4 linked regions of the Arabidopsis thaliana genome follow. The protein of the gene in region 1 interacts with the protein of each later gene in a pairwise test. Each region holds a gene or a part of one and is shown in the gene's direction. Other genes may lie near its edges.

The links.
Region 2: the proteins of AT1G54540 (region 1) and AT5G24010 interact in a protein complementation assay, tested with the Arabidopsis thaliana proteins (one large-scale study listed by BioGRID).
Region 3: the proteins of AT1G54540 (region 1) and CNGC9 interact in a protein complementation assay, tested with the Arabidopsis thaliana proteins (one large-scale study listed by BioGRID).
Region 4: the proteins of AT1G54540 (region 1) and AT5G41180 interact in a protein complementation assay, tested with the Arabidopsis thaliana proteins (one large-scale study listed by BioGRID).

Annotation. Positions count from the first base shown.
Region 1 is NC_003070.9:20,367,008-20,370,397, reverse strand, and holds AT1G54540 (Late embryogenesis abundant (LEA) hydroxyproline-rich glycoprotein family), read left to right. Parts: upstream 1-1,886; 5' UTR 1,887-1,976; coding exon 1,977-2,696; 3' UTR 2,697-2,845; downstream 2,846-3,390. Other genes in the region: AT1G54550 (F-box and associated interaction domains-containing protein), read right to left, coding at 1-709.
Region 2 is NC_003076.8:8,111,944-8,117,174, forward strand, and holds AT5G24010 (Protein kinase superfamily protein), read left to right. Parts: upstream 1-1,810; 5' UTR 1,811-1,966; coding exon 1,967-4,441; 3' UTR 4,442-4,686; downstream 4,687-5,231. Other genes in the region: AT5G24000 (keratin-associated protein (DUF819)), read right to left, coding at 1-2, 185-411, 481-749; MIND (septum site-determining protein (MIND)), read left to right, coding at 4,788-5,231.
Region 3 is NC_003075.7:14,926,283-14,932,047, reverse strand, and holds CNGC9 (cyclic nucleotide gated channel 9), read left to right. Parts: upstream 1-1,692; 5' UTR 1,693-1,908; exon of another isoform or gene 1,909-2,045; intron 2,046-2,330; 5' UTR 2,331-2,366; coding exon 2,367-2,434; exon of another isoform or gene 2,435-2,582; coding exon 2,583-3,171; intron 3,172-3,272; coding exon 3,273-3,485; intron 3,486-3,575; coding exon 3,576-3,886; intron 3,887-3,970; coding exon 3,971-4,319; intron 4,320-4,402; coding exon 4,403-5,074; 3' UTR 5,075-5,214; downstream 5,215-5,765. Other genes in the region: AT4G30570 (Glucose-1-phosphate adenylyltransferase family protein), read left to right, coding at 97-147, 228-293, 387-626, 704-1,342; GGP3 (Class I glutamine amidotransferase-like superfamily protein), read right to left, coding at 5,335-5,430, 5,544-5,765. UniProt on the Arabidopsis thaliana protein: Putative cyclic nucleotide-gated ion channel.
Region 4 is NC_003076.8:16,481,950-16,487,967, forward strand, and holds AT5G41180 (leucine-rich repeat transmembrane protein kinase family protein), read left to right. Parts: upstream 1-1,810; 5' UTR 1,811-2,095; coding exon 2,096-2,192; intron 2,193-2,359; coding exon 2,360-2,498; intron 2,499-2,589; coding exon 2,590-2,661; intron 2,662-2,697; exon of another isoform or gene 2,698-2,770; coding exon 2,771-2,914; intron 2,915-2,992; coding exon 2,993-3,124; intron 3,125-3,215; coding exon 3,216-3,338; intron 3,339-3,423; coding exon 3,424-3,488; intron 3,489-3,575; coding exon 3,576-3,785; intron 3,786-3,878; coding exon 3,879-4,084; intron 4,085-4,172; coding exon 4,173-4,305; intron 4,306-4,388; coding exon 4,389-4,546; intron 4,547-4,634; coding exon 4,635-4,850; intron 4,851-4,979; coding exon 4,980-5,279; 3' UTR 5,280-5,478; downstream 5,479-6,018. Other genes in the region: AT5G41190 (RNA-binding NOB1-like protein), read right to left, coding at 5,679-5,828, 5,913-6,018.

The DNA of each region.
Region 1 (3,390 bases):
GTTTCTCATTTCTAACACAAGATAGAGTCAAATATTCAAAACGACGAGATGGAGGTTTAAACAGCATAGGCAAACGTGGTCCCTTTCGACCAAAAAAGTAAGTATTTCCCTTCAAAGACACGCTATTGTGACTAAACAGTTCATGCCAATCTATATCAATATCAAGAACCCTCCATGAATCAGAGCTAAAATCGTAAACATCAATAATGACGTTTCTTGGACTCCCCTCATAAAGAAACCTCAAAATTTTGTGGTTACGGTTGTTGTCGTATCCAAGAGCAAACTTGTCATATCTGTGGAGTTTTTTTCTTGGTTGAATCAATTTCGTCTGCCCTAAATACGGATTCCATACCATAACACTCGAGTTGTCTTTGGCGATGCATAACAATAAGCCATCACAGTGATAGACTTGAGATATCTCGACTTGATCAACTTTATTAGGTATACTTATTTGCTTTATAGATAGATCAATCAAATCTTCTTCGCTACGGATTCCTTGAAGATCTAATCTCAAAGAACAAACCCTAGAATCTGTAACCATGAACTCCAAGAACTGATTCTTTGCTGCTGCTTTTTTACCTAAGATGTCATATTTCGATATAGCGTTCCACTTTTTACAAGTAGATCTCACTGCTCTTAGAGATGTCAATGGAACCCTAGAAAATATTTCTCTTACCAAATCATCCGGTAGATCGGTTACTGTCGCCATTCTTCCTCCAAGTTTTCAGCTTTCTCCACAAGTTTAATGTCTCATTGACCTATTCGGTACCCTAATATGTTTGTATATGTGTTTTGGTTGGGCTTGTAATAAAGTTTTGCTTTGGCACAGATTTTTTAAATGGGCCTATTATTTGGAAAAAAATAAACCATCGAATCCTTAACTATATCATATGGTAAAATTACGAAATCGTTTAGCAACTGATTTTCAGTTTTACTTAAAAACTACGAAGCTCTTGATTTAGTTCGTAGAGTGCACCACCACATATTTAGTAATCTCTTTATAGATCAGATGATATGTGACTAACATAAATTTCCAGAGTAGATGAGTGATGACTATATATTAATTGGGAAACTTTGACATCTATCACTTTTACGATTCCATTTCTCAAAATAAACTACTAAAGACTTTTTTTTTAAAAGGATGCAAAAGAATCCTAAGATAGAGTGTTTTGAGAAGTCTATTAGCCCATGGAACTAGAGTTTTAGCTAGCAAAAGCATATAAATTTATGGTTAGAACATCCATGGAAGGTAACTTTGTTTGAGAGTTGTCCTCTCAAAACAACTCTCTTCCTTCATCTTAATAAGAGTATCAATTTCGAATCATAGTGTTCTTGGTGACAACGAAGTAATATTTTCTCTATCAGTACCCTTGCATCATAAAGTTTTAATAATCTATCTAAGTTCTTAGTTTCTATCTTAATAAGTTTGAATCTTTCTTCTTTTGAGATTGCTTACAAAAAAATCATTCAAGAATCAATTTATAAAACCTTATATAACTTTATAAATATTTTCTATAAAATGTATTTAAAGAAATTATAAATCCTTTTGTGGTGTTTTTGAAAAAAAAAATTAGTGATAGTTATGAAATGTATCATAAAAATTGTAGTTTTCAAATTCTTCCTCAAGAATTTGATTATACGGGTTGTTGCTGAACATAGAGATGAACAAAAAGAAGATATGTGTTGAAAACATTGGAATGTTGCCAAAGTCGTCATCCTAACTAAACCAATATACCGAATGATTTATTGTTTTTGTTTTATTATCGAATTAAATACAAAAAGATTACTGTAACTGTTGAACAACCTCTAGTCTTTCTAATATATTCTGATTAATTCAACGTTATAGGTGAGGAAGGTAAGATGTTGGTAAAAGTCATGCATGGAAACAACTTCACAAGACAAAACTTTGATATAAAATAAAGTACATATAATACATGTTGGTGCATTAGTATTACTAAATACAAAGTTGTAGATCCATGGGAGATCAACAAAAAATTCACCCGGTTCTTCAAATGGAAGCCAACAAGACGAAGACAACAACACCAGCTCCCGGAAAGACAGTCTTGCTTCCGGTTCAACGGCCGATTCCGCCTCCTGTTATTCCTAGTAAGAATCGAAATATGTGCTGCAAAATCTTTTGTTGGGTGTTAAGCCTTCTAGTCATTGCATTGATCGCGTTAGCAATTGCGGTTGCGGTTGTATACTTTGTTTTCCACCCTAAACTCCCGAGTTACGAAGTCAACAGTTTACGAGTTACCAACCTTGGAATCAATCTAGACCTCTCTCTTTCCGCGGAGTTTAAAGTCGAGATCACAGCTCGTAATCCCAACGAAAAGATTGGGATTTATTACGAGAAAGGAGGTCATATCGGTGTGTGGTACGACAAGACAAAGCTATGTGAAGGCCCTATACCGAGGTTTTATCAAGGACATCGCAATGTAACTAAACTAAATGTGGCTCTAACGGGAAGAGCGCAATATGGGAACACTGTCTTGGCGGCATTGCAGCAGCAACAACAAACAGGACGTGTACCGTTAGATCTTAAAGTGAATGCACCTGTCGCCATCAAACTCGGAAATCTGAAGATGAAGAAGATTCGGATATTGGGGAGTTGTAAGCTTGTTGTTGATAGTTTATCAACGAACAATAATATCAACATCAAAGCTAGTGATTGCAGTTTTAAGGCCAAACTCTGAGATGTTCTTAGATCTAGGCGCTTTTACTTTTTATTGGTGTTAATTACTCAATTCATCATTTTCTTATGCATTTGATTCATATTTTGGATTAATGGTTTTATTCTCAATAAAAGATTGATTTTTATTTTTTAAATTACGAGAGATTTTTGAAATTTCAAAATATTGCAAATGAATGGTTCTTTTCCGCTTAACATAATTTCTATGAAGTAGTCGGAACGAGACTCTCTTCTAGAGAGAGAGAGAGTCATTCAGGAACCGACGTGCTTACATGGGAAAAAAACCTATTGCGATCTCATGTCTTTTTCCAAGGCAATCGATCCGCACATTAAAACGACGAGAAAGAAAATTAATACTAGAAGAGGGAAAAAAACATACAAGGGAACCAAATGTCGTCATCTCAACTACAAATGTTGGCTACACTGAAAGTTTTTCAATAGAGATAAGATCTTCACGGTCGAAAGCAAAAGAGCAACTCGTAACACCTATCGAGATTATAAATTCTATTGCCCATAGCATGGAATCAACTTCAGCATGAATGGTTTGGTAGTGTGAATCACATCTATACTATTTTTTCAATGGTAAAACTTTCGAAAATTACAATAGAATTGAAATATAAAATTTCGAGAAAATTCAAACGATCTCGAGTTTAATTCATCCCAAGTAAAAAAAGAAGTAAAAATCGAAGAAATTACAA
Region 2 (5,231 bases), on another chromosome or scaffold:
AACTACAACAAACCAACTCACAAATTAATAAACCACTCAACACATCATCAATAACAATGTCACTTCACAATCAATCTTTTTAACTAAAACCACTCAAAGACATAAACTTTTGTTAGTCTTAAGCATGAATCCAAACTAATCCCAATCCAAAAACTTGCCTTTAAGCAAAAGACTAAATCTTTACCAGATCCAATTAAGAATGCAAGAAGCAATGATCCAGTAGATCGGATAATACGACGGAGATCAGCTCTAAACAACAACAATGGAATCGTATGCGGCAAGAGAAACTCCATGAAGAAGCCATACGACGGCGTTTCAAACGGAATTAACCTTAAATTGCTAGCGGCGAGCCCAAGTAACGTACTTGTCAACGCACCACTCACCATACTTCCAATTTTCGTCTTCTCCGACCTAATGAAGTCGGTAATTTCATCAGTATACAAAACCCTAGTTTCAACAGAGAGGATTGAGGTGATTTACCAGACACCGAAAGCTCCGGCGGCGAAGAGAGCAGCCCATTGTGACCAGTGATCGTCTGGGGAGATTAGAGGGAATCGTAGTTGTGAGTAGACCTTCACGCGCCGGCGTCGAGATGAAACAAGACGATGTGGAGTGAGTGTTACCGGCGGCGATTTGTTACGGCGTATGGTTATTGATGATGATAAGTGGTGGCGGGAAGGAGACACGTGGAGCGATGAGATTGTGGGGGACAGTGGATTTGGTGATACCACTGTGAATAGAAGAGCCATTGCACTTTTTAGATACACCAATTAATGTTTGAAGTCCCATATTATACTTTTGGAAACTTATTTTTTTTGTTTCCTTATTCGGCTAAACAAATTTATTGAGATATCAAATTGACGAGAAGCATATTAATATACCACATAATGAATATGATAAAAGTTTAAAATAAAATTTAACAATATTTTTTTTCTAAAACTTTACTCTATTTTCTATTTTTGTAATCTATTTCTTGATACGAAAAAAATAACAAATAAGAAATAAATAAAATCGATAAAGAAAGTAACATAACATAGGAAGACGAAATATATAAGAAGAAAATATAATGAATAGTATGAAAAAAGAAAAATAGTAAAAAAAAATTATGATTAGCTTCGTTTGGTGGAATTCTCTTCTTTTTAGTGTTTTCATGTATTTTATTGTCTTCTTGTTTATCAAGAAAAAGAAGTTAATCTAGACTTTGATAAAATGATGGATCATGGATGCCCATAAAAAGAGTACTTCTAATTTTTTTTCTATAACTTTTTTAAAAAGGATGCATTCACTATAACAAGGTTTGTTGTATGAATAAAATTTTACATACACTCAGAAAAAAGAAGAAAAAAAGAAGAAGAAGAGTACTTCTAATTTGGTGACAGATGCTTCCTTATATTTCCTTCTAATTATTAAATTAGTATCGTTTAGGTCTATTGGAATTAATGAGTGAAATATTAAACCTTGCCTACAATACACTAATTAATTTATTTTTTGTAATAATGTGTCGGTCCAAACCTTGTTAGTTACGCAATTAATACCATAATAATCACACCACCTACGATGAGTTAATCCGTAACACCACAAATTATATCTCAAAACTGTTTCTATCTAATTCAAAAATGAATCAAACATCCCTACTCATAGCGTACACAAATGATTAACTAAGAATTACCAAATCAGTGAAAATCAACTATATTTAATAGAAAGCAAAACTTTTTGAAAATGATTGCCACCGAATCACAAACAAAATCAGGTTTAAGCTTCCTTTGGTTTCCCATTGCTGTTGACAAACTTCGCTGCCTAATGATTTCACAAACACTTTCTCTTTCACTTACCTTTAGTGGGAAAAAAATACGAATACAGAGAAGTGACAGCAAAAACCCACTTTCTAGTTTCTCCATCTCTTCTTCTCTTTAATATCATCAAACCAAAACCTTTCTCAAACCTTCCCCAAAAAAGCTTCACTCTAATGGCGTTTCCAATAAATCTAACCCAAACCCTTCTCTTCTTCTTCTGCCCTCTTCTTCATCTCTCTTTCGCTGCTTTCACTCCAACTGATAATTATCTCATCAATTCCGGTTCTAACACCAATACATCTTTCTTCACAACCCGTTCTTTTCTCAGCGACTCTTCAGAACCTGGCTCGAGTTTTCTCTCCACCGATCGATCCATCTCGATTTCTGACACGAACCCATCTCCAGATTCACCCGTTTTGTACAACACAGCTCGTGTTTTCCCCGTCGGAGGATCATACAAATTCCAAGTCACTACCAAAGGCACTCACTTTATCCGTCTCCATTTCGCGCCTTTTAAAGCTTCGAGATTTAACTTAAGGTCTGCTAAATTTCGAGTTTTGATTAATGGGTTCTCTGTGATTAACAGTTTCAGTACTAGCTCCGTCGTTGTTAAAGAATTCATACTCAAAATCGATGACCCTGTTTTAGAGATTTCGTTTTTGCCCTTTAAAGCTTCTGGATTTGGGTTTGTTAATGCGGTTGAAGTGTTTTCAGCACCTAAGGATTATATAATGGATCAAGGAACGAAGCTTGTGATTCCTAACTCTGCTCAAATCTTTAGTAACTTGTCATCTCAAGTTCTTGAGACTGTTCATAGAATCAACGTTGGTGGTTCGAAATTGACGCCGTTTAATGATACGTTGTGGAGGACTTGGGTTGTTGATGACAACTATCTTCTCTTGAGAGCTGCTGCTAGACGTGCTTGGACTACTCATTCTCCGAATTATCAAAACGGTGGTGCCACGAGAGAGATTGCTCCGGATAATGTTTATATGACTGCTCAGGAGATGGATCGAGATAATCAGGAGTTGCAGGCAAGGTTTAACATTAGTTGGGGGTTTCAGGTTGATGAGAAACGAGTTCTTCATTTGGTTCGTTTGCATTTCTGCGATATCGTTAGTTCGTCGCTTAATCAGCTCTATTTCAATGTCTTTATCAATGAGTATCTTGCGTTTAAGGATGTTGATCTCTCCACGCTTACTTTCCATGTGCTTGCGTCTCCGTTGTACATTGATTTTGTTGCGGAGTCTGATCGTTCTGGAATGTTGAGGATTAGTGTTGGACCGTCTGATCTTAGTAATCCGGCGAGAGTTAATGCTCTATTGAATGGAGTTGAGATCATGAGGATTTTGAGCCCTGTGAGTTCTGAAGTGGTATCTGGAAAGAGGAATGTTGTCTGGATCGTGGTTGGCTCGGTTTTGGGAGGTTTTGTGTTCTTGTCGCTGTTCTTCTTGAGCGTTTTGTGCTTGTGCAGGCGCAAGAACAACAAGACGAGGAGTTCAGAGAGCACGGGATGGACACCTTTGAGGAGGTTTAGAGGCAGTTCCAATAGTAGAACAACTGAAAGAACTGTTAGTTCTAGTGGCTACCATACTCTGAGAATCTCGTTCGCGGAGTTACAATCCGGAACCAATAACTTTGATAGAAGTTTAGTTATCGGAGTTGGCGGATTCGGGATGGTTTTTAGAGGGTCTCTTAAAGACAACACCAAAGTAGCTGTGAAGAGAGGCTCTCCTGGTTCAAGACAGGGCTTACCAGAGTTTCTCTCTGAGATAACCATTCTCTCTAAGATCCGTCATCGCCATCTAGTTTCACTTGTTGGGTATTGCGAAGAACAGTCTGAGATGATTCTTGTTTATGAGTACATGGATAAAGGACCACTCAAAAGTCACTTATACGGATCCACCAACCCGCCTTTATCTTGGAAACAACGGCTTGAGGTCTGCATTGGTGCAGCCAGAGGACTTCATTACCTTCACACCGGTTCTTCGCAAGGAATCATCCACCGGGATATCAAATCCACCAATATCTTACTAGATAACAACTATGTAGCCAAAGTTGCAGACTTTGGACTCTCAAGATCCGGTCCTTGTATTGATGAGACACATGTGAGCACCGGTGTAAAAGGAAGCTTTGGATATCTTGATCCTGAATACTTCAGAAGACAACAGCTCACGGATAAGTCCGATGTTTATTCATTTGGTGTTGTTCTTTTTGAAGTTCTTTGCGCTAGACCCGCTGTTGATCCGTTGCTTGTTAGGGAGCAAGTAAATTTAGCAGAATGGGCAATAGAGTGGCAAAGGAAAGGGATGCTTGATCAGATCGTTGATCCGAATATCGCAGATGAAATCAAACCGTGCTCGTTGAAGAAATTCGCTGAAACCGCAGAGAAATGCTGTGCGGATTACGGTGTAGATAGACCGACAATTGGCGATGTTCTATGGAACTTAGAACATGTGCTTCAGCTTCAAGAATCCGGACCATTGAACATTCCTGAAGAAGATTATGGAGATGTTACCGACCCGAGAACGGCTCGGCAAGGTCTGTCTAATGGCTCGAACATAGAGAGAGACTATGGAGATGGAACTTCAGGCATAATCAGTAGCACCCAAGTGTTCTCTCAGCTAATGACCAACGCTGGGAGATAAATTAAAGTCATTGCTATATAGAGCAAGTATTTATCATAGTCATAGAGTACAATACCTAAACCGGGAAACCAAAGCGGTGTACCGGTATCTCAGATTCGGTTCGTGTTTGGTATAATTTTGTTTGGTTTCTGTAACTTGTAGAGCTATGATTGTTCATTTGATATGGATGAATCATAAACCGTTAAAACCAGTACATTATTTGGTTAAATATTAAACCGGTTAAGAGTGGAGAAATTAAAAACCGGAATCTCAAAAGTTCTTGATAAACCGTAAACCCTGTGAAGCCACAACGCTCAGAAACATTTCTGTCTCTGTGGAGACAGCTGAAGAAGCAGCAGCACTATCAATGGCGTCTCTGAGATTGTTCTCAACGAATCATCAATCTCTTCTCCTTCCATCATCTCTCTCACAAAAGACTCTAATATCTTCACCAAGATTCGTCAATAACCCTAGCAGACGGAGTCCAATACGATCCGTTCTTCAATTTAATCGCAAACCGGAACTCGCCGGAGAAACGCCGCGTATCGTCGTTATCACCTCCGGAAAAGGCGGTGTTGGAAAGACGACAACCACCGCAAATGTCGGTCTCTCTCTCGCTCGTTACGGTTTCTCAGTTGTCGCCATTGACGCCGACCTTGGTCTCCGTAACCTCGATCTCCTCCTAGGGTTAGAGAATCGAGTCAATTACACTTGCGTCGAGGTTATAAACGGAGATTGTCGTCTCGATCAAGCTCTGGTACGTGATAAGCGTTGGTCGAATTTCGAATTGCTATGTATATCTAAACCTAGA
Region 3 (5,765 bases), on another chromosome or scaffold:
GATGACAGTAGATCATCTGGTTATATTTATGCAGAATTGAAGGCTCTTATTCTAGTTGGAGGATTCGGAACCAGATTGAGGCCACTTACCTTGAGCATGCCTAAACCACTTGTTGATTTTGGAAACAAACCCATGATTTTGCATCAGGTAGGTTAGCTTCTTCTTCTTCTTTTGTATTTGCTCAAGTTTTCACAGTTTCTTTTGTTCTCATTATGATGCATTCGCAGATTGAAGCTCTAAAAGGTGCTGGAGTGACTGAAGTTGTATTAGCTATCAATCACCAACAACCAGAGGTACATACATTCATTGTCCTTAATAACGATACGATAACAATTGAAATTCTTCCGTGTCATCCTCCTTCTCCTTGTGTGTTTGGTATTACTCAGGTCATGTTGAACTTTGTGAAAGAATATGAGAAGAAGCTAGAGATTAAGATTACATTTTCCCAAGAAACTGAACCGCTTGGAACAGCAGGGCCTCTCGCGCTGGCTCGGGATAAGCTGGTCGATGAATCAGGCCAACCCTTTTTTGTACTAAACAGCGATGTTATCTGTGAATACCCATTGCTTGAGATGATCGAGTTTCACAAGACTAACCGTGCTGAAGCATCAATCATGGTGACCGAGGTAGTCAAACAGGAGCATTTTCTGCATTTTGTGAAGTTTATCTTTCATCTGTTAATAGCATTTTCTGATATTAACAGGTTGATGATCCTTCTAAGTATGGTGTGGTGGTTACAGAGGAAGGTACAGCGAGAGTTGAAAGTTTTGTCGAGAAACCGAAACATTTTGTGGGGAACAAGATCAACGCTGGGATATACCTCTTGAGCCCATCTGTTCTTGACAGGATTGAGCTGAGAAGGACTTCGATAGAGAAAGAGATATTCCCTAAGATAGCTTCAGAGAAGAAGCTTTACGCGATGGTACTACCTGGTTTTTGGATGGACATTGGTCAACCGAAAGATTACATAACCGGGCAAAGAATGTACCTTAACTCTCTAAGAGAGAAAACTCCGCAAGAACTGGCCACAGGGGATAACATAATCGGGAATGTTCTCGTGCACGAAAGTGCGGTTATAGGAGAAGGTTGCTTGATAGGACCTGATGTGGTGATTGGTCCGGGATGTGTGATTGATTCAGGTGTAAGATTGTTTGGTTGTACTGTAATGCGCGGTGTGTGGATCAAGGAACATGCGTGTATCTCTAATAGTATCGTGGGATGGGATTCAACCGTTGGAAGGTGGGCTCGAGTTTTTAATATAACGGTTCTTGGCAAAGATGTTAACGTCGCCGATGCAGAGGTTTACAACAGTGGGGTTGTTATCGAAGAGCAAGGTCTGTGAAACCAGAGCCTAGACCTAGATTAGTTAGTTCCACTGTTTCCAGAGTCTTATGAACCGCAATATTCTTACAATTTAAAACAGATACAAACTCTATGGTAAACCATATCATAAACCGGTTAAAAATGGTATTCGACACCAATAGAGAAAAACGTTTTTCAGATCCATCCCTAAGCAAGTTGTGTATATTTCTTTCGTAAATGTTTTGAGACATTCTTATAAGGGACATATAAATTATTGTAGATAAAGCCTATGTTTCTTAAACACGAAACTGTGATTTATTAATAGACTATAGTTTGGTGTATGTAATTAACGTTGAGAAAAATGAAAGACGTGACGGCAGAGAGAGAGAGAGTGGACCCGACCCGGACGGCACGGAGACACTTTCAGTTTCTTCTTCTTCTCTTCTGTCTTTGTGATATTTCTCTCAAAATCAATATTTTTTCATCTGTGAAACGACTTCGTCTCCTCCCACTCCATTGTCACTTTCTTCTTCACCCTTCTCTCGTCTCCGTCTGATTTGGCGTGTAACTTCTTTCTACCGTAATTCTCCTTCGTCTTCTTCTCTGGTATATCTCTTGCATTCCCTCCTAATTTCTTAGCCAATTACTGTTTGGAATGATCTTCATTTTGTACTTCCCATTGCTTGATTTTGGTTGACACCTTTCTCGTTTAAGATCGTCTCGTTTTCATGCTGAAAACTCAAGTATTTAGTTTTTTCGTTTGTACCCTTTTGTTGATGTTTTGGTTTGGGGAGAAAATGTGGTTCCTTTCAAGTTTTTTCCGTCAATTTGAGTTCTCAGGTCAACGAAAATGGATGGATGTTCTTAACCCATTAACCAAGTTTGATTTTTAGAGAGATTCTGTAAACAAACAATAACATTTTTTGTGCTTGAATTATTTTTATATTTATTGCAAGTTTAGGATTTTGCTGCTTGAAATGATTTTGATCATAAATGTTTATTACATTTTCTTATGTGTGTAAAAACAGGTTTGGGATTCATGAGTTGAGTCACAAGGAAAAAGCATGTTAGACTGTGGCAAAAAAGCAGTCAAATCACAAGTAATCAGTGGCCGTCTCGAGAAGTTTGTAAGGTAACTCTCATTATTGTATATAGTTGATCGAAATTTAACATGATGATATCATTCTAGCAGATTCAGATATTGTTTAGCCAAAAAGGACATTCCTTTACTTCAGGTTTGAAACTAAATGGATATCTTTAGTTTATTTTGTTCTTCACAGGTTGGATAGTATGGATTCTAGGTACTCGCAGACTTCTGATACTGGTCTAAACAGATGCACTCTCAATTTACAAGGACCAACACGTGGTGGTGGTGCTCAGGGAAACAATGTATCTTCTGGTTCCTTTAAGAAAGGGTTTAGAAAAGGTTCTAAAGGTCTTTGGTCTATAGGAAGATCAATTGGTTTAGGGGTTTCACGAGCAGTTTTTCCTGAAGATCTTAAAGTATCAGAGAAGAAGATTTTTGATCCACAGGACAAGTTTCTTTTGCTCTGTAACAAACTGTTTGTTACTTCTTGCATTCTCGCTGTGTCTGTGGATCCGCTCTTCTTGTATCTTCCGTTTGTTAAGGATAATGAGAAATGTATCGGTATAGACCGGAAGTTGGCTATTATAGCAACAACGCTGCGGACAGTAATTGATGCGTTTTATCTTTTTCACATGGCTCTTCGGTTTAGAACAGCTTTTGTCGCCCCTTCTTCTCGGGTTTTTGGTCGAGGCGAACTTGTGATTGACCCTGCACAGATAGCAAAACGTTATTTGCAGCAGTATTTCATCATTGACTTTCTCTCTGTGCTTCCACTTCCACAGGTAATAACAGAAATGCCTCTCCCAGTGTTCTCTTATCTTCCATTGTTTCTTTGTTCTCTAAATTTTTATGACTAGTTTATGTTATTCTTTGGATTTTTCAGATTGTAGTTTGGAGATTTCTTTACATCTCTAAAGGTGCAAGTGTGCTAGCAACAAAGCGGGCATTGCGATCTATCATTTTAGTTCAATATATTCCAAGATTCATTCGGTTGTATCCTTTGAGCTCAGAGTTAAAGAGAACAGCTGGTGTTTTTGCTGAAACTGCTTGGGCTGGTGCAGCTTATTACTTGCTACTCTACATGCTCGCAAGCCATGTCAGTACATACTATCTTTGGTAGCTTTCCTCTTATATTCTCAAAAGATCCATTCATCACTCTCTCTTTTTTCCCTTATGTTTTTATCAGATTGTTGGGGCTATATGGTACTTATTGGCCTTGGAACGTTATAATGGATGCTGGACCAAGGTTTGCAGTAATAGCAGCTTGGACTGTCACAGAAACTTCCTGTTTTGTGGTAATGAAAAAATGGATGGTTATGCAGCTTGGACTACCATCAAAGATTCTGTTCTGCAATTAAATTGCCCAGTTAATACAACCGATAATCCTCCTTTTGATTTTGGGATCTACTTAAGAGCCTTGTCCTCTGGCATTGTCTCATCTAAGAGCTTTGTCTCTAAGTACTTCTTCTGTTTATGGTGGGGACTTCAGAATCTCAGGTACGTAATTCTAAAGAATCCGTCTTCTATAGTCATTATGAAAAGTCTCTGTTGCATTAGTAACTTTGTCGATGTCAAATGCAGCACTCTTGGTCAAGGGCTTGAAACCAGCACATACCCTGGAGAAGTTATATTCTCCATAGCACTTGCCATTGCTGGACTTCTTCTCTTTGCTCTTCTTATTGGAAACATGCAGACTTATCTTCAATCCCTTACAATCCGGCTTGAAGAAATGAGAGTGAAAAGACGTGATTCAGAACAGTGGATGCATCATCGAATGCTTCCACCGGAACTGCGAGAACGAGTCAGACGATATGACCAGTACAAATGGTTGGAGACACGCGGAGTTGATGAAGAGAATTTGGTTCAGAACCTCCCAAAGGATCTGAGAAGAGATATCAAACGCCATCTCTGTCTGGCTTTGGTTCGGAGGGTAAGTTGAATCTTACTTTAAAAGCCTTTTTCTAATCTTGATTCATAAATGAAACCATCTTGTTCTATTTTTCTTATGGAAAGGTTCCATTGTTTGAGAATATGGATGAGAGGCTGCTCGATGCAATCTGTGAGCGGTTGAAGCCGTGTCTGTACACAGAGAGCTCTTATTTGGTTCGGGAAGGCGACCCGGTTAACGAGATGCTCTTCATTATCCGTGGTCGGCTTGAGAGTGTGACCACCGATGGCGGAAGAAGCGGTTTCTTCAACCGCAGTTTGCTTAAAGAAGGAGATTTCTGTGGGGAAGAGCTTTTGACATGGGCACTTGATCCCAAATCTGGTTCCAACCTACCATCCTCTACCAGAACCGCAAAGGCTCTAACTGAAGTAGAGGCTTTTGCTTTGATAGCAGATGAGCTCAAATTTGTGGCTAGCCAGTTCAGAAGACTACACAGCAGGCAAGTTCAACACACATTCAGATTCTACTCGCAACAATGGAGAACTTGGGCTGCTATCTTCATACAAGCCGCGTGGCGACGATACGTGAAGAAGAAGAAACTTGAGCAACTCAGGAAAGAAGAAGAAGAAGGAGAAGGATCAGTTACTAGCATCAGAGCGACGTTCCTGGCTTCAAAGTTTGCTGCAAATGCACTTCGTAAAGTTCACAAGAACCGTATTGAAGCAAAGTCTACTATAGAACTTGTGAAATATCAGAAGCCTTCAGAACCTGATTTCTCTGCTGATGATACTAGTTGACCAAATTTTACCAGAAAAGTGCTAATGTCTATGAACGCTTATAACTTGTATAACTCGGATTGAATTTTATTGTTTGATTTGTGTTGCTACATTAAGATAAAGAAAAAGGTGGTAACATAAAAGATTATTTGTGATTGTGATTTGTTTTATATGTGTTTCTTTCTGTTTCCTGAAGATAAAATATGAAAGATACTGCAGGTTTATTGAGAGATGACATAGTTTTTGATAAGTTCATACAGAGATAACATAGTCTCGGATCATCAACCTTTCAGGAAGTTTTTGCAGAGCTTCTGCCATAGAATCCTGTCTGGTTGCGCAGTCTCCATCGTACTCTTTGCCTTATCCGCAAACTCTTGCTGAAAAAAATCAATCACATTGCAATTCTTGATAAGGCTAACTACATTGAGAACAAGAACACTCCGAAATGTTTATCTAGCAAAAATAGAGATCATAGAGAAGGAGAACAAACCTCCATCAGCTTCATATTAAGGACTCGGTCCACAATCTCAAACAGAATCTCTTTGTTATACTCTGGATGCCCTTGAATACAGAAAAAATGATCTCCAATAGAGAACATCTCGACGTTACATACCTCAGAAGAAGCAAGTAGTGTAGCAGACTCAGGAAGTTCCAACACTTCATCCTGATGACATTTTATAATAGCTAAAGATGCTGGGACCTCAACGTCTCC
Region 4 (6,018 bases), on another chromosome or scaffold:
CACAAACACCGGTGAAAAGAAACCTATATCTTAAGGGTTTGTGACGTGAATATGATGAATCCAATGGAGCATCCTCATAGAGGATTTAATCAATCAGCATTGATCACGCCAGTACACTTAGACGTGATGCACCTCATGGATAGAAGGTTGGTCTTATCGCTGCTAGGAGGACTGGTCGTCTCAAAGTCAAAGGTCAAGTTGTTGCTTCAGCCGCCAAGGTCGACAAGGGTTCTTAAACATAAACTCTTTTACTATTTTTTTAAAGGTTTTAACTAGACTATCCATAGTAGCTCAAGAAAGAGAGATAGAAACATGGAACTTTTGCAAATTGTAGTCCCAAATATCTTTTATTTTAATATTTGTCTTTTATCCAAAATATGAATTTGTAATTCTCTGTTAGGAAATTGATTTGCAGTCATATAATTTACATGAATTTTTTAATTATATGTTACGAAATATACATTTTTTCTGTATGTGTTGCACACAATTTTTTTAAAAATATATGAATACTTTAATTTTGTTGATATATAAGCGATGTTATGAATCACCAGGAATAAATATAATTGGATACAACATTTAGACATATTGTAATAATTCATTTAGAAACAAAATCGAATCCCAGACTGACTGTAAGAAAATAAACATTTGATCAACTATTAAACTAAATGATTTTCATAATCATTACATAGATTTAAAACAGTAAAGAGTTACAAATATTTGGTGATAAATTGGTAACAAATAGTCTATTCATTTGTGTTAATGTTATTGTTGTAACATAATTAAAACCGCATATTACATGTTATTAAAAATAACAAATATACTTTTAATAGATAGTGATATTTAAAAATAAGAAAGAAATCTAGAGTAGTTACAGTAGGGCCTTTTTTATATATTCTAATCCTAATTTACTTTTTTTTTTGTCAAACAATCCTAATTTACTTTATTAAACTAAATGATAAAGTTTAAGAAAAGGTGCAAAAATAATAATTAAAATATTAAAAATAAAATAAAGAAGAAAATATAATTCTTGTGATTTGTGTTAACCTTTCTTTTATTTGTTTGCCAACAATGATTGTAAATTCTAATTAATAAAAAGGAGGCTATGAGGAATATAACCACTTTTGAAAATCTGTTTTTTTCCTCTATAATGAATGATGAGTTAGACTTTTATTAAACAAAGTTGAAATCGCCGACAAAAAACAAACAAAACGTTAAATCTTTCATCAGTTGAGTTAATGTGATATGGAAATTTTTCAAATAGTTTAATGGTCTAAAATGATATTTTAATTATTATATATATCGTCTATAATTCATAATATAGACATAAATCAAATTGAAATCTACATTACGACATAGCTACAACACTAACATTTTTTTATCCAACACTTAAAATTTATTGGAAACGTATATATTTTGTTTTTATTTAATGTAATAATATTTTGTCTTCTTTCACATTTTAAGCAGGTTATATATTGACTATAAATGTTTCACAGATAGATGCATGTTGATACATTTTTCCTTGTATACAAAATACACATTACAGTTAAATAAATTTATTTATTTCTGGCTTACAATTAGAGATATTACTGTGAAGTGTGAACATGCATTAGATGGGAAAGAAATATAAAACAATTTCATTACATAAAATTGGGATCTATTACTAATTAAATGTGGAATAATCTTAATTTTAGTCAAAGTTATAGGGACACATATTTAAATAAAAGTGATATCTTTCTTTTCTAAAAGACAAAATTGAAAAGCAAAATGTCTTCTTCTCCGTTTAGAATAGAACAACAACAAAAAAAAAACTGTCTTTGAATCCAAGTCTCTCTCTTTTGTCACCATCTCTGTTACTTACTAAGAAACTTCTTTTTCTTTAATGGTTTTTTTGCTAAATACCCGTAATATTATTAATTAAAGCATTTTCCTTTTTCTGCTAAATCTTGCTTTGCTCTTTAAGCTCTTGTCATTGTTGTTAATTGTCTCCTGGAGGCTGGAGGCTGGAGATTATTTGGTCTTTTGTGATGACTATAATGTGAGAAATTCTGGGTTTTGCTAGAATTTGAAGAAATCTTTGAGCAAGGAGGAAAAAAGAATGAGACTTTACTTATCTTCAACGATGCAGCTTTCTCTTATGAGTCTTGTTCTAGGGTTCCTCTTTGTTTCCTGTGACGCGTTTGCCTCTAAAGAAGGTATTTTGATTTCTCCATTTTCTCCAATTTTTGGATGCTGAGAAAGTTTAGTCTTTTTAGCCTCTGTCTGTTAACACTTGCTCATTGAGTTGATCTAGAAAGTTAGAAACTTTAGTTTTGTTACTGATCATTTAGAAGTATTTGATGTTTTGCTGTTTTGTATTCAGTTGAAGCAGTTAGAAGATTCAAGGAAGCCATTTATAAGGACCCATTGCTAGTTATGTCTAATTGGAATGTCCCCAATTTGAGTCCTTGTGATTGGAATGGCATTAAATGTTCTCCATCTAAGGATCACATTATCAAGATGTAGGAAACTTTGATCTCTTTCTATCAGTAAAATCAGTTATGTTTAGTATGATGATGATTTGGTATCTGTTTCATGCTGTGAAACTTGCAGAAATATATCGGGGACATCGATGAGAGGGTTTCTTGTGCCAGAACTTGGTCAAATAACCTACTTGCAAGAACTGTATGGTTTTGATTCATATTGACAATACCTGAAGATATAAGTTTGATGATTGGTACTGTTTGTAAATGTTTAGATGACTTTGTTTTTTCTGTGTTGAATGCTTCTTTAGGATCCTGCGTGGGAACATTCTAATGGGGACAATACCAAAGGAGATAGGAAAGTTAAAGAAACTCAAGATCTTAGACCTGGGAAACAATCATTTGACAGGACCGATTCCAGCAGAGATCGGGAAATTGTCAAGGATTAAGACAATGTAAGAAAATCTTTAAGAGAATGTCATCTATCCGATAATGTGCTGAGATAACCATTTTGTGTCTCTTTAACACCACAGAAACCTTCAGTCCAATGGTTTAATAGGAAAGTTACCTCCAGAGATTGGAAACTTGAAGCACCTTAAAGAACTTCTTATTGGCAGGAATAGGCTTCGAGGAAGTATTCCTATTGCCGCGAAAACATCAAAAAAGTGAGTTTAGCTAATAGTCCAAGGTAGCATAAGATGGAAACTTAATGTTTATGATTGAAATGTTAATGTATCTTCTTTTTGTGTTGGTCAGGTATGCTTCAAATCCAAGTGCAAACATCAGTGGTTTGTGCAAGTCTTCTCTATTTAAAGTGGCAGATTTCTCTTACAACTTTTTCGAGGGAAGAGTTCCGAGTTGCTTGGATTACCTCCCAATGTATTTCTTATAAGACCCTTTTTCTAGCTTTCCTTTATTTTTCTCATTTGATAATATCTCTCTGTATCATTGAACATCATTGTAGAACGAGCTTTCAAGGAAACTGCATGAAAACCATGGATGTTAAGCAGAGACCTCTTTCAGAATGTGGTTTGTAGAATATGAGTTTCACTTTCTTGATGCTGATAATCGTTTCTTTATCTTGTTTTTCATTTTGAAATTGTTTCAATTGGTTAGCTCGCTTAGCTGTAACCGTGGCCAAGAAGAAGCATCGAGCATCGAGACAAACATGGCTTCGGAATTTTGAGATAGTCACGGGATCATCAGTTGGCTTGCTCTTTCTAGTCGTAATGTTCTCTGCATGTAGCTTGTGCAAAATAAAGCGCTCTCTCATCGTTCCCTGGAAGAAATCTGCAAGTGAAAAGGAGAAGTTCACGGTCTACGTTGGTTAGAAACTCTTAAAAATTCTAAGATTTCAATACAAATAACTGAAAGAGCTTCCAGAGATGAAAAAATTACTGATAAACTGTTTTTCTACAGATTCTGAAATGCTGAAGGATGTTTCAAGATATACAAGACAAGAGCTAGAAGTAGCATGTGAAGACTTCAGCAACATCATTGATTCTAGTGCAGAGAGTCAGATTTACAAAGGAACGATCAAAGGCGGGACTGAGATCGCGGTTATCTCTCTCTGCGTTAAAGAAGAAAATTGGACTGGATATCTTGAGCTTAATTTCCAGAGAGAGGTTCTTCTTCTTATGGTTGTTTATCACCAAGTCACTTGCAAGAAAACATCAGTATTAAACTTGATTTTATTAATATTCATTGTTTCAGGTTGCGGCTTTGGCTAGATTAAACCATGAGAATGCGGGGAAATTACTGGGATACTGTAAAGAGAGTACACCGTTCACAAGAATGCTTGTGTTTGAGTATGCATCAAACGGGACACTATACGACCATCTCCACTGTAATATATAATCAAACTTCTTCAGAGCTCTTTCTTTGGTAGGACTGATAATGATACCAAATGATGATAAAAATTTGATGCAGATGCGGACGGGAGTTTAGTATCGTGGGCAAAACGCATGAAAATTGTTATAGGCATCGCACGTGGTCTCAAGTACCTTCATACTGAACTCCATCCTCCATTTACAGTCTCTGAGTTGAGCTCAACTGCAGTGTATCTCACTGAAGATTTTACTCCCAAAGTAAATTTGATCCTCTTTTTTCTATGCGGTTAGCTAAGCTTTGCTACTATCTCTATACTCTTATTTTGATCCTCTTATTTCTATGCAGCTGGTTGATTTCGAATGCTGGAAGATTATTCAGGTGAGATCAGAGAAGAACCTGAAGAATATCTGTAATGAAGGAGCAATATGTGTACTTCCCAATGCAATGGAACACCGAGATATGGATTTACAAGGGAATATCTACTCATTTGGCATACTTTTGCTGGAAATTGTAAGCGGAAGACCTTCTTATTGCCAAGACAGAGGTTGCTTGGTTGAATGGGTAAGAATAGCTTTTCTCTATAAGCTTAAAGCTGAGTACTTATAATAAGTCTCTCTCTCTCTCTTAGCGGTTTACGTGTTTTCATGCGTTTGATGCTGAGGATTTGATTCAAACTCCTAAATATTGCAGGTAAGGGAGAAAAACCTTGGTGCACCAGATGTGATGGCTAGCTTGGTGGATCCTGAGCTCAAGCATTTCAAGCAAAAAGAACTTGAGGCAGTATGTGAAGTGGCAAGCCAATGTCTGAACTTGGACCAGAATGAAAAAGACAAGGATAAGCTTTCTTGTTCGATTCAAGCGCTTTGTGAGACACTAGAGAGTAGAATCACTGTGTCCATTTCTGCAGAATTCAAATCGTCTTCTCTGGCGTGGGCCGAGCTAGCGCTGGCCTCGCCTTCTAACGAAGACGACGATGATAGGAGTAAATAAAATTGGCTTTGTTGTTATGACATTGACATACACTTGTTCGAACATTTTTGCTTCAATTTTGCATTCGGTTTTGATAGCACCGACCATGCCTTGGATAAGTTATCAGGTAGGTTGTTACGGTCGGTCTATTGTTAATACCAATAAACTGGAGGTGTAATCTTGTATACCAAGTTCTTGACGAATGAAATTGTGTTGAGCCAAAAAAGAAAAAAATGACAGGTAGCTTGAAACTAGAGGAATACATCTGTGAACCGAATAAAAAGTTATAAACTCTCACCTTTTCAAACTAGTTTTGGACTTCAAACAACAATCAGAAAGAAAAAGTAAAAGTACAAAAAAGAGACAAAATCGTTGGCATCTGAAGTACAGGAGATGTTTGTTGTGTAGGAGAAACAAAGATCAGTGCATAGAACGAGAGTAATGGTTGTCATTAGGGTTTCTTTTCTGGCTGAAAACCGACATAGCTTTTCTCACAGGAGGCTGCAATGGCGCCTTTCTATCACTATGATGGTTCAAGAACACATCATCTGATACGAAGTACTCATCACCCTGCAAACAACAGCATAATTTACCTTAAGATTTCAATCAAAGTTACAGATTTGAGTTTGAGATAGAAGACACGAAGAGACTAACCGGTTTGCTTGCTTTCTTCTTGGTCCTAGGGTGGAGAAGCTTTTGAGGGAGTTGATCTTCCCGTAGAATCAGATTCTTGGTGATTGCCTCTCTTCCTCCTTTAGGC